Linked DNA regions of Daphnia pulex. The protein of the gene in region 2 purifies or fractionates together with the protein of the main gene of each other region. This does not show direct contact. Links are inferred from orthologs where the notes say so. Each region holds a gene or a part of one and is shown on either strand. Other genes may lie near its edges.

What was found.
Region 1: the proteins of vesicle transport protein USE1-like (region 2) and sec1 family domain-containing protein 1-like purify together in Homo sapiens (affinity purification with mass spectrometry; 3 studies listed by BioGRID and IntAct, counting the BioPlex papers as one, with this or other methods). This does not show direct contact. The link is inferred for Daphnia pulex from reciprocal best matches to the Homo sapiens genes USE1 and SCFD1.
Region 3: the proteins of vesicle transport protein USE1-like (region 2) and RAD50-interacting protein 1-like purify together in Homo sapiens (co-immunoprecipitation; 3 studies listed by BioGRID and IntAct, counting the BioPlex papers as one, with this or other methods). This does not show direct contact. The link is inferred for Daphnia pulex from reciprocal best matches to the Homo sapiens genes USE1 and RINT1.

Annotation. Positions count from the first base shown.
Region 1 is NC_060019.1:10,712,896-10,716,654, reverse strand, and holds the start of sec1 family domain-containing protein 1-like, read right to left. Parts: upstream 2,579-3,759; 5' UTR 2,419-2,578; coding exon 2,388-2,418; intron 2,324-2,387; coding exon 1,862-2,323; intron 1,783-1,861; coding exon 1,693-1,782; intron 1,632-1,692; coding exon 1,496-1,631; intron 1,425-1,495; coding exon 1,082-1,424; intron 1,017-1,081; coding exon 881-1,016; intron 795-880; coding exon 610-794; intron 550-609; coding exon 470-549; intron 409-469; coding exon 270-408; intron 205-269; coding exon 1-204. Other genes in the region: tol-Pal system protein TolA-like, read left to right, coding at 3,737-3,759. UniProt on the Homo sapiens protein: Plays a role in SNARE-pin assembly and Golgi-to-ER retrograde transport via its interaction with COG4. Involved in vesicular transport between the endoplasmic reticulum and the Golgi.
Region 2 is NC_060018.1:697,739-700,326, reverse strand, and holds vesicle transport protein USE1-like, read left to right. Parts: upstream 1-821; 5' UTR 822-913; coding exon 914-1,012; exon of another isoform or gene 1,013-1,029; coding exon of another isoform or gene 1,030-1,032; intron 1,033-1,102; coding exon 1,103-1,231; intron 1,232-1,287; coding exon 1,288-1,896; coding exon of another isoform or gene 1,897-1,943; 3' UTR 1,944-1,946; downstream 1,947-2,588. Other genes in the region: translation factor Guf1, mitochondrial-like, read right to left, coding at 1-140, 202-389, 478-551; ATP-dependent Clp protease ATP-binding subunit clpX-like, mitochondrial, read right to left, coding at 2,371-2,442, 2,505-2,572.
Region 3 is NC_060023.1:2,168,622-2,172,380, reverse strand, and holds the start of RAD50-interacting protein 1-like, read left to right. Parts: upstream 1-912; 5' UTR 913-1,006; coding exon 1,007-1,147; intron 1,148-1,211; coding exon 1,212-1,453; intron 1,454-1,523; coding exon 1,524-1,697; intron 1,698-1,759; coding exon 1,760-1,906; intron 1,907-1,970; coding exon 1,971-2,440; intron 2,441-2,506; coding exon 2,507-2,862; intron 2,863-2,929; coding exon 2,930-3,062; intron 3,063-3,130; coding exon 3,131-3,251; intron 3,252-3,311; coding exon 3,312-3,367; intron 3,368-3,441; coding exon 3,442-3,551; intron 3,552-3,616; coding exon 3,617-3,750; intron 3,751-3,759. Other genes in the region: uncharacterized protein LOC124197333, read left to right, coding at 1-128, 191-306, 370-573. UniProt on the Homo sapiens protein: Involved in regulation of membrane traffic between the Golgi and the endoplasmic reticulum (ER); the function is proposed to depend on its association in the NRZ complex which is believed to play a role in SNARE assembly at the ER.

The DNA.
Region 1 (3,759 bases), on a different chromosome or scaffold from region 2:
GACCAGATTTTGATACTCGGCATATGTCCCTCCACCCACCATGAATACAATAGCATCTTGGAATTGGGCACGACTCTTAAGAGGAGCAGTACTACCGCCCTCACTAGGTTTCAAAAGCTTTGGATCAAAATAACGGTAATCGTCGGTTTCTGGAGAGGGTTTCAGTTCCATCAAGTGATCAACAATCCGTGTAACTGGTAAATTCTGTTGAAAAATATTTTCATCAAATGAATTCTGATTTGAAAGTAATTCAACCAGAAAATGCTTACATGTTTCTTTACAACCAAGTTCTTCACGCCTTCCATGACAAAATTCGAGCCTTGGGACATAAGTTTCGTAAACATGTTCACTGTTCTAGTTCCACCTCCCGAGTACTGGCTAGAGCCAGTCGCAATCTTGCTGCACGACCTTAATTGAAAATAGTGAATTTTAGAAACATGTCAAACAATCCACGATTGAAATTACTCACTTCCAACGCTTCAAATAGCGCAAAGCTGCTAAATTGCAGCCAGCAGCTTTTAGTGCAGCGGCGTACTGATCAGTTTCGGACTAAACAAAATCGATAAATATAACAAGTAAATATCATTGTAAAAGAGGCTTATTCCCTACCTCAGTCATGTTAGGTGAACAAATAAAATAGACCAGAAAGAGTCTGAGTTTGTCGTCTGGAGTTCCGCACTCCGAATCACTAATGATGTCTAAGACAGATCGATCTAAGGCGTTTTTGCTCATAACCTTCTCCTCCACCTCTAGTAAAACGTCCAATTTTCGCTGCTTGATTTGCTCCAAGATGGCTAAAAGATTGAAAGTTAGTAAGTTTAGTCTTGTGTCAATTTATGGGTGGTTCATAGGAAGCCTTTAAAAAAATACATAATTTTACCTGTTGCTATGGTTGTATGCATGTCTAAAAGCCGCTTCCTCTCCAGAAGCTGGGGTAGAGAGCTAACTGCTGAAGTCAGCTTGGCTGTTGTGTTGGAAATCAAACTCATAGCGGCTTCTCCGTCTGGATCTAATCCCTTTGAAAAACAAAACGTAATAAGGTAAATTAATGGCCACAAATTTCTATTCATCGAAACAGTACCATTGATTCTTTTAATCGTTTCACTTCACTCTCCGATGCTTTGTAATCTTCCAGTTCTTCTTGGATGGATTCTGCTACTGTTGGGAAAGGACTGCCTCTATAAGATATCCAAAATTTGTCGGATGGGTTCAAATCACAAGTCTTTATTTTGGCTTTGTGAGAAGGGGTGTGCCGATGGCTATCCGGATGGTGATTGGCATCACTTTCTGGTTCCTGGACGACCACACGATTTAAAGTGTAATCCAAAACATCGTGTACAAGGGCTTGGTAAGTCCAAGTGTGGTGGAGAGGTGTAGCCATGTCCAAGTTACGGTCGAGGAGAACCAACAAAGGCCTCTGAAATCTAAAAATTTTAAAAAATATATTGTAACTGCAATTCGCGCGGCGGGTTATTTGGCTATGAAACAGACATACCCAAAACTTTGGGTTAGATCAGAAGTAAAAAGACCACTTCTCGTATCTCGCAAACTCTCCCTTAATTTCTTGTCTAGTTTTTCAGCTACCATTTCAGCTGCATTTCCTTTAGGACTTCGAATCACCGGAACAGTGCCTGCATCATTGAATAATTTGCACATGATGCACATATAAATGAAAAATAGAACAACTTTTACCCAATGTGGCAAATAAAGAGAATAAACTATCCACAATTCCATCTAAAATGTTGTTCATCTCTGTATCTGTTATTTCACCCCTGTTCATAGCTGAAATTAATAAGATAAATTTATAATTTGATTTGTTTTAAGGAAACAATGTGGCAATGGGGGCAAGAGTAGTACTCACAGTAGTAGGATATCATGTCACTGTTCTGATTTCTGAGGATAAACAAATCATCTTCCAGAGAAATGAAATTCAGGTATTGATCACAAACTTTTAAGATCTGGGCCACACTCTGAGCATTGATTGCAGCAGATGCCAAGTCCTCCAATCTTTGCCGGGATATGGATGAGATAAAATTGAAGTAATATGATTCATATAGCTGGTTTTGTAAATCTTGGCTTATTCGTCCTAGGTTCTCTTCAGTGGGCAGGCAAAAGTAAATAGCAGGCACATCTGGAACAGGGTCTCTAGGTGAGTGTAGTTGGACGTGGAGAGTCACACCTAGTTCTTGCAATTCCTTGACTGATAGAATGGGGGATATGATATCCTGTCCATACTTGTCGTACACCAAAATTTTCCATGATGGTTCCATGATAGTTGATTTAGTTATAGGTTGGTTGAAATTTATCATTTGCTTCAACAGATCTGTAAGAACAGAAAGTATAGCATGAAAAACTGAGTCTTTAAAGAAAACAATTAACAGACGTACTTATCTGTCTCTCTCGTATTGAAGAGCCCATGGTTTTTCTTGTTCAATATTCTCGTGTTATATTGTTTTATGTTATATTATATATTTGGATTTTGGATGTCGGTCAGATCGTGTACTTATCCGGATCCGTCAAAACAGATACGTCAGCAGCTGTTTTTTTCTTCTCCGCTAGATGGCTTCCAAGAGGTTGTCTGCCTGTTTTTACTTTTTTCGGCGGCAACATAAACTTTGATTGGTACTTTCTCTTTTTACGAAAATGTTGCTTAAATTATTTAGATGTTGTATTATTTGATAAAGTTTTAATATTATAACCGTTCTCCTTCTTTTTCATGTTTTTGTAACACCTTTCTCTGTAACAGAATCCTCCCTGGAGCTGGAAGCCAAGTCCTAACTCCCAAGCAACAAATGTCAGGCAACAAGGTCAGTTAATCAGTTTCACTTTTTACTTTAGTGATCGTCAACGCTTGCCCTTTATTGGAGAAATTTCCGCATTGGCTTACCTTCTAAATTTTATCAATTTCGAAGTATTTCAGTTGTTACCTCGATACATAAACCTCTTTTTCACTGTCGAAGGAATCAGAGCGGAAAATGTATGCCGCCTAAAAGTCTATAGAGTTAAATAGTGTCCCACCCTTTAGTGTTTGTTTCCTGTTTACTTTTATTTCATCACAGGCAAAGAGAAAAGTTCTTTTTAAAATGATAGCTAAAAGAAAAATAATATTTTTATTCATGTTATTAACATCCATGACATCTGAATGGCTTGATTCAATTAAGATGCGATAAAAAAAATTCTACGAAATTCCTAATTGAAGAAACACTGAATACGAAAATCGGCGTCTTATGTAACTATGAATAATATAATTTAAGCTGTATTTGTGTCCTCTTTTTAAAAGAATTTAAGTATTTAACAAATACCCTATTTACCGCAAAGAATAATAAGCCGACGGGAGACGGGACCATTTCATTATCTTCGTGTCTGTTTCGGTGTGGCCTATATTTTCGTTTTCTACTTAAACCGAGGAACTTGACATAGAGAGTCCAGAGAGACAAAACTGAAATGGAAAGTAAATGGTAGCATTTGTTATGCCATTATACTCCTTCCCTCTATGACTATGCAGGATTTCCTACATTATTGCACGTACGTATTATTTCCGTAAACTTTTCCGTTTCACAAATGGCAATTATCTAACACGTTGCGCTTTAAAGACCAAGAATCAATCCCTTGAAAATTGTTCCTATATAAGGTAAGCTTGTTGCGTTTGTAAGATAAACAGTCTTCGACTATCATTTGCCCAAGAAGGACAATTATAGCTTTGAGTCTCCGTCAACAAACTACATTCTTTAAAAAAATGAAATTCACTTTAGTTTTGAT
Region 2 (2,588 bases):
GATTAAATTCAGCAAATAGTCATTTCCTTGATAATTATATACTAATGTGGCAGTTTGAGCTTTCACTGTAATGCCTCTCTCCCTTTCTACTTGCAAACGATCAAGCATTTGGGCTTCATGACCTCCTTTGCTAATTGTTCCTGAAAATGAAGAGACAATTACAGAACTGTATTCAGTCAAATAATGATGAATATTGTAAACCTGTTAATTCTAATAGCCTATCTGCAAGAGTACTCTTCCCATGATCAATATGAGCTATGATTGAAAAATTTCTGATCCTCTCGACAGGGAATAAGGTTAGGTCAATTTCAGATTTAGATTTACTGGAATAGTGTTGAAAACTTTGTTGGAGACTCATGTGCTCTGGCAAAAGAAATATTTGTCTCTTCCTAGACAAATAAGAAATAAAGGCAAATCAGTGTGATGCTCCTTCTCAGAAAGAATAGTATTATTTCTTGAGTAAAAAAAATTACTTACCAAAACACATGTTTATAGGATTTGCATCTGCACATTTTAAAAGCATGGCGAATGGAACGTGATTTCCACATCATCAGATTTACTTATTAATCAACTTCTATGTGTAATAATTCCGGCAATGGTTTCTATTTTCTTTTGAAAATAAATAGCAGACAGCAGTTTGCCGAATTTTCCTACAAGCGAAGGCCAGCCCAATACCAATAGCATGGTCGGCCAGCAGCAAAATGTTTTGGAGAATCGACGCATCGAAGATCGAGCGCCAATTGCCATGTCAGAAAAAGTAGCTCGCACCGGGCGGCCTGTATTATTCATCGTGCTCTTCACAACACAATGTTTACGTCAACTGTCTAGGTGGCTAGGTGCTCGTCGCTCTAAATTGCTGCATTTTGGGTTTAATTTTAGGGGAATTTAATCCGTTAGCTAATAGCTACTAAAAATGACCCGAACTCGATTGGAAACAAACTTTATCCGACTTTTAGAACAGTGTAAAACGATTGCCAACAATGGAAAGCACACTGAATGGAGATTTGAGAAGGTAGACTTACTTCTTCAATGGTAATAAGTTTTTCCACCGACAATAACTGAAGCTGGATCGCTTTAATTTGTCTTGCCTCCTGTTTAATAGTATATCATTACACTTGAAGAACAGCTGACAGAATTGAAGAAATGTCCAATGCCACCAAATAAGGATGTTCTAGATGATTACACAAAATCTGTTGCTTTTTTGAAAGGTCTTACCATCACTGAAAAGCTGGTAATTACATCATCATTACATATTTTCTCATAACTTAACTTATAAAAATTTTCCAGCCTTCTGTTACAGATAAAGTTGTTGCTTCTCAGTTTTTGTCCCCTTGTTCTTCTCCATACGGAGACACAGTTTCAAAGGAAATCCGACATAAAGTTGCATCTCAGTATAGCAATCAAGTTAGGGATGAGTTGCTGACCAATAAATTACTTCCAGCAAATGAGTCTGTCTCAACAGAAAAAAATGAAGAATTTGAAAATCCTGCTTCAACATTAAGGCAAAGAAAAACTGAATTACTGAGCACCATAAAAACAAACACCACTCCTACTCATGTGCAGGATTTTGATGGAGTGATTAGTAATGAGCAGCAAACCCAAGAAGAAATCACAAATAATTTGCTTACCATGGCTAAAACCATGAAAGAGCAAACCATGTCTGCAAACTCAATTATCAGACAGGACTTAATTACACTGGAAAAGGCCAACATTCTGGCTGAAGAAAATCAGACAAACCTTCAGACTCAAACACAAAAGCTTCAAGAGAGAAGTGGATTCTGTACCCGTTGCTGGGTTTGGTTGTTTTTATTGCTTGTCTGCATGTCTTTCATAGGTAATCTATTGCTTCATTGTAATGTTGAGGTTCATTTGATGTTAATTTTTTCTATTATCTAGCCATGATTGTCTTCATGCGGTTGTTCAAGAAAAAGAAGACATCCTAAGTATAAAAGAACATCACACATACTAAAAATTAAACAAGGTTAAAACTTAAAAGTTCTTAAATAGGATTCATCAACCACTGGTGCCCTTACTTTGAGAATACAACTACAATTAATGTATTTTGGATTTTTTGTTTTTAAATCATAATATTTTGCTATTCACATCACAATTAGCACAGTTAGTTGTCCCAATTTGTCTCAGTTAATCTAAATCTAAACCTAATTGAAATGAAGTTATATCGACTTTATTGAAGGCTTCGAGTCCCATAAACAAAAAGAAGTTAAAAATAAAACGAGGCAACAAGGGAGGCTTAGTACATTTTTTTAAAATTGTACATATCGACGTAGTCTAGAAATCCCGATATATATACGCCATAAGTAGCCCCGTTGGAAAGAAAACGAAAAGTTGTTGTTTGAAAACAAGTATTATCTAACCCCGTCCAGCTTGGGCTTGTCCCAATTCTTCGTCGTCAACAGCTACTTGACCATCACTGGTAACGCTCTGTTAGAAACCAAAATTATAACCAAATTAAAAGTTTTATTATTTTAGTAAGGATATTATACTTGGGCTGCATGGATGAAGAGAGGTTGACTTCTGCCATTAACTGCATCCTCTGTGACATGGACTGATACTAAAAACACGATAAA
Region 3 (3,759 bases), on a different chromosome or scaffold from region 2:
AGGCAATGATTTCCGTTCCCTAAGACAACTGCATTTAAACAAGATTAGCAAAGGAAAGATCTGTAGAAGACCTGTCAAAACTACACATCCAATCGATGCAGACGTCGAGATGAAAGAATCTCATTCGGGTAATTTGTCATTATTCTGGAAGCCAATTTTTTGAGACATAATTCTTGTTGTTTGATTGCAGATTTAAAAGAAGACATAGAAGATGAAGATAGACCATGGAAGAAAAGAAAAGATGAATACTATTCTGAGCATTTCTATCCTGAGAAGGATCCTGTCATAACCAAATTCACTGTTTCGGTAAAATTTTGTTTCTCTTTCTAGATCCAGTTCACGCCTAATTTTTTATTTTCTATTGCTTAGTCTTCGTCCAAGTTCTCCGGTACCCGGACGACTTCGAAACTTAAGTGCGACCTTAAAGTAACCTTACGATCAGACAACCTCCTCGAGTTTTTTAACTATTCATTGGACAAGGGAATTCTCACGTACCCTTTAAACCCGTTTTTTGAAAACATCGTTAATTTAGGGCGCACCTCAATTTCAACAAAGGATATAGAAGAAAACTAGACTGTAATTGTTGCTACATTTTTCATTTTCAAACTGTATGATACGGTTATTACGGTAAATTTAAATGATTTTTAAATACACTAAATTTGAATTCATTCTATTATCGAAAAGTGTTTTGGTAGAGTGATTGTTTCGGACTTTCAGTCTCGTCTCGCTCGATCATAAGTTATGACAAAGTAAGAGAGTAAAAAGCATAATTATTCATAATTTTCATCAGCTACTGGATTTTCATGGATTTCCGCTTATTCTCTGCTTATGACTATGAATTATGAGTTAATGAGTTGTGTTCAATTTATCTTGCAACCTCGCGATTTATTCTGACACATAAACAAGCAGACAGTTTTCAATAGCAAATTGTAGTGTGGCTGTGGCAGCCAGTGAGCAGCAAACAAGTTGTGTAAACAAACTTAATAAATTACACATATTTATTGAGATGACGGAGGAAAACCCGGATTTGCAAAGAAAAATTGTAAAAGCACTCAATGAAGAAATTGGATCAGATTTAAAACAACTTCACAAACTCAAAGAACTGTATGATGAAACCAAAACCATACAAAATGATCTGAAAGAGAAAGTAAAATAATCTTGCTTCACCTGTTTTTCCAACATCTATTTATCTAATATTTATCTATTTTCAGCTTTCATTAGTTAGCACAGAAGCTCCAACAAAAGTTCAAAACACCTTGAGGGAGGTTGAAGAGCTCTCAAAAAAACTAGTGACTCTTGAAAAACAATACTTGGACTTGAAAGTTGAAGCCCAATCACACTTAACATCTGTCGACACATTTCTAGGAAATTTCAGCAGTCAACTACAAGAAATAGAAAGACTTGAACTGGAATATTCCTACCTGAAATGCATCAAAACTGTGGAAGATCTAAGGTATTCAATTTAATAAACATATAAACCCCATCATAAAGTATTAATCATGTTTCATCACTTATGATATTAGTGAGAAAATCCGACAGAGTTTACAGTCTAACCTAGATTTGGAAGCTGTTGAGTTGTACAACAAACTCGTACAACACAACTGCATGCTGGAAACATCTCAGTGTGAAAATCTAAAAAAGTTTGTTAATGATACTGTAATTTTCTGGTTTGAGATGATCAAGGAAAAACTAAAAAAGTATAGCCCATTTCAATTAAAGATTTATTATACACGTTAAAAAATGTTCTTTTGAAAAACAGGGAAATGCAAGATACTCTTAAACTGATACAGTGGCCTTTGATTTCAACGAACCAGGAGGTTTTAAAAACTGTCCCTCCACCTGATGTGATGAGCAAGTTTCAGTTACAATTTCAGTGCCTTGGCAAACTGGAAATCCCATCCAAACAGTCAGTTCTACACTGGCCCAAGTACAAGTTTGCGGATACATTTTGAATTCTTTATTTCTTTCAGGTTGGAAGATCCAAGTGTGGCAGATCATGTGATTTTGTCTAGATTTACTCCTTCCAGCCTAGCCATCCAAGAATTAATATATCCTCTATTGAAAAGATTTTTATATCATTTTGGTGGTAATCGACCAACCAACCGTCGTGACAAACCCGAGTGGTATATGCGCCAGATTCTTCAGTGGATTGGAGATCACGCTAAATTCCTCGAAACAAACGTTCAACCCTTGTATGCACCTAATGATGCTTTAACGGATTTTTCACGAGGACTCGTTCAACTTGCTGTCGAGAAACTAGTAAAGGACACACCGGTTATCCTTGAGGATGAAACCATTTTGGCACACACTATCGGTGAAGTACTCAGCTTTGAGAGTGAACTTCGATCCTCTTACAACTACCCATCCTCACAGCCGTCAGCTTTACTTGTTCTCTCTCAGCCCCAGTTTTTTACTCGATGGATTGCCTTAGAAAGAGCTTGTAAGTTGACTAATGAGAATTTCCTCGCATTCTACTTAAACTTCAATCATTCTGTTTCATTCATAGTCGCCGTAGAAAAAATGGACATCCTTTTGATTAGCGATAAAGCCTGGACTTGCGTCTCTGGAGACAATTCCGAGGCAGAAGACGAAGTTCGATTAACTGAGTGTGGCGAAGGATTTCTCCAAATGCTGCTGGCCATTACGGATCGTTACAAGATCTTACCCCAACCCGGTCATAAGTTGCAGTTTTTGGATTTACAGCTTGAACTGCTGGACGAGTTCCGTATTCGGTTGCTACAGTTAGCCCGTCAAGACAAATTTCACGAATTATTCGCCAATCGATCATCGCCCAATATCAGCCCTATCCTGAACACGCTGACGGCTGTTATTAATGTTCTAGATGACTGGACTGATTTGCCGGTAATAATTTATCCAAATTATGAATTATCGTATAATAATCGTTTATGTTTCTCTTTTGTGATGCAAGTTCTTCGTTCAACTGCATAGTTATAAAGTCCAGACGGAAAATATTGAACGTTTAGCTGCAGAAGCTATTAGCAATGATGAGGCCTCGCTTCCTTGGCTTCGTACTCAAGCTCATACTAATCGAGACGAAGAAGGTAAACAAATAGTCTTTTCAATATTATTTTTCCGAACAAAACATTATTCCGAATTTGATCATCAACAGGATCGGTATTTGACAGCATCATTGAGCTTTTAAAGAGAATGCAGGAAGATTTGCTGCGCCGTCTGGTAGAGGCGGTGATGCTCGAAGTGAAAGCCAAATCGCAACCCTACAGACTTGACAAGTAAGTAATTGAAATAATTTTTTGAATTGCCTTATTATAAAAAATGGAATTGTCCGGTAGGTGGGCATCACTCCCCAATCCGGATGAATTCATTCAACCCAGCCTATCGCCAACAGGTCAGTATTTAGATTCGTAGTTTTTATTTGATAATCCGTTTTATTATTTGACGTCTTTGTTCTATAATAAATAGGATCTGCAATGCTCCAGGCAGTAGCGATTGGCTTGTTGTGGCTTAAGGATTCCCTGGCATCTACTATGTTTGTCGAAGCGTGGCAGAAATTGGCCTCTCAAGTGAACGACGTATGAAATGACTGTGCCTGTTTTTATTCAATCAGAAATTTTAACGAATCAAACATTAATTCTAGTTCCTCTTGGAAGAGCTGATCCTACAGCGGCAGTTTAATGAAGGAGGCGCTTCTCAACTTTGCTTCGACATCCAGCAGAATCTGATACCGCTTTTTGGGCAATACACCACAAAACCGGAGATTTACTTTAAAGAGTACGTGTC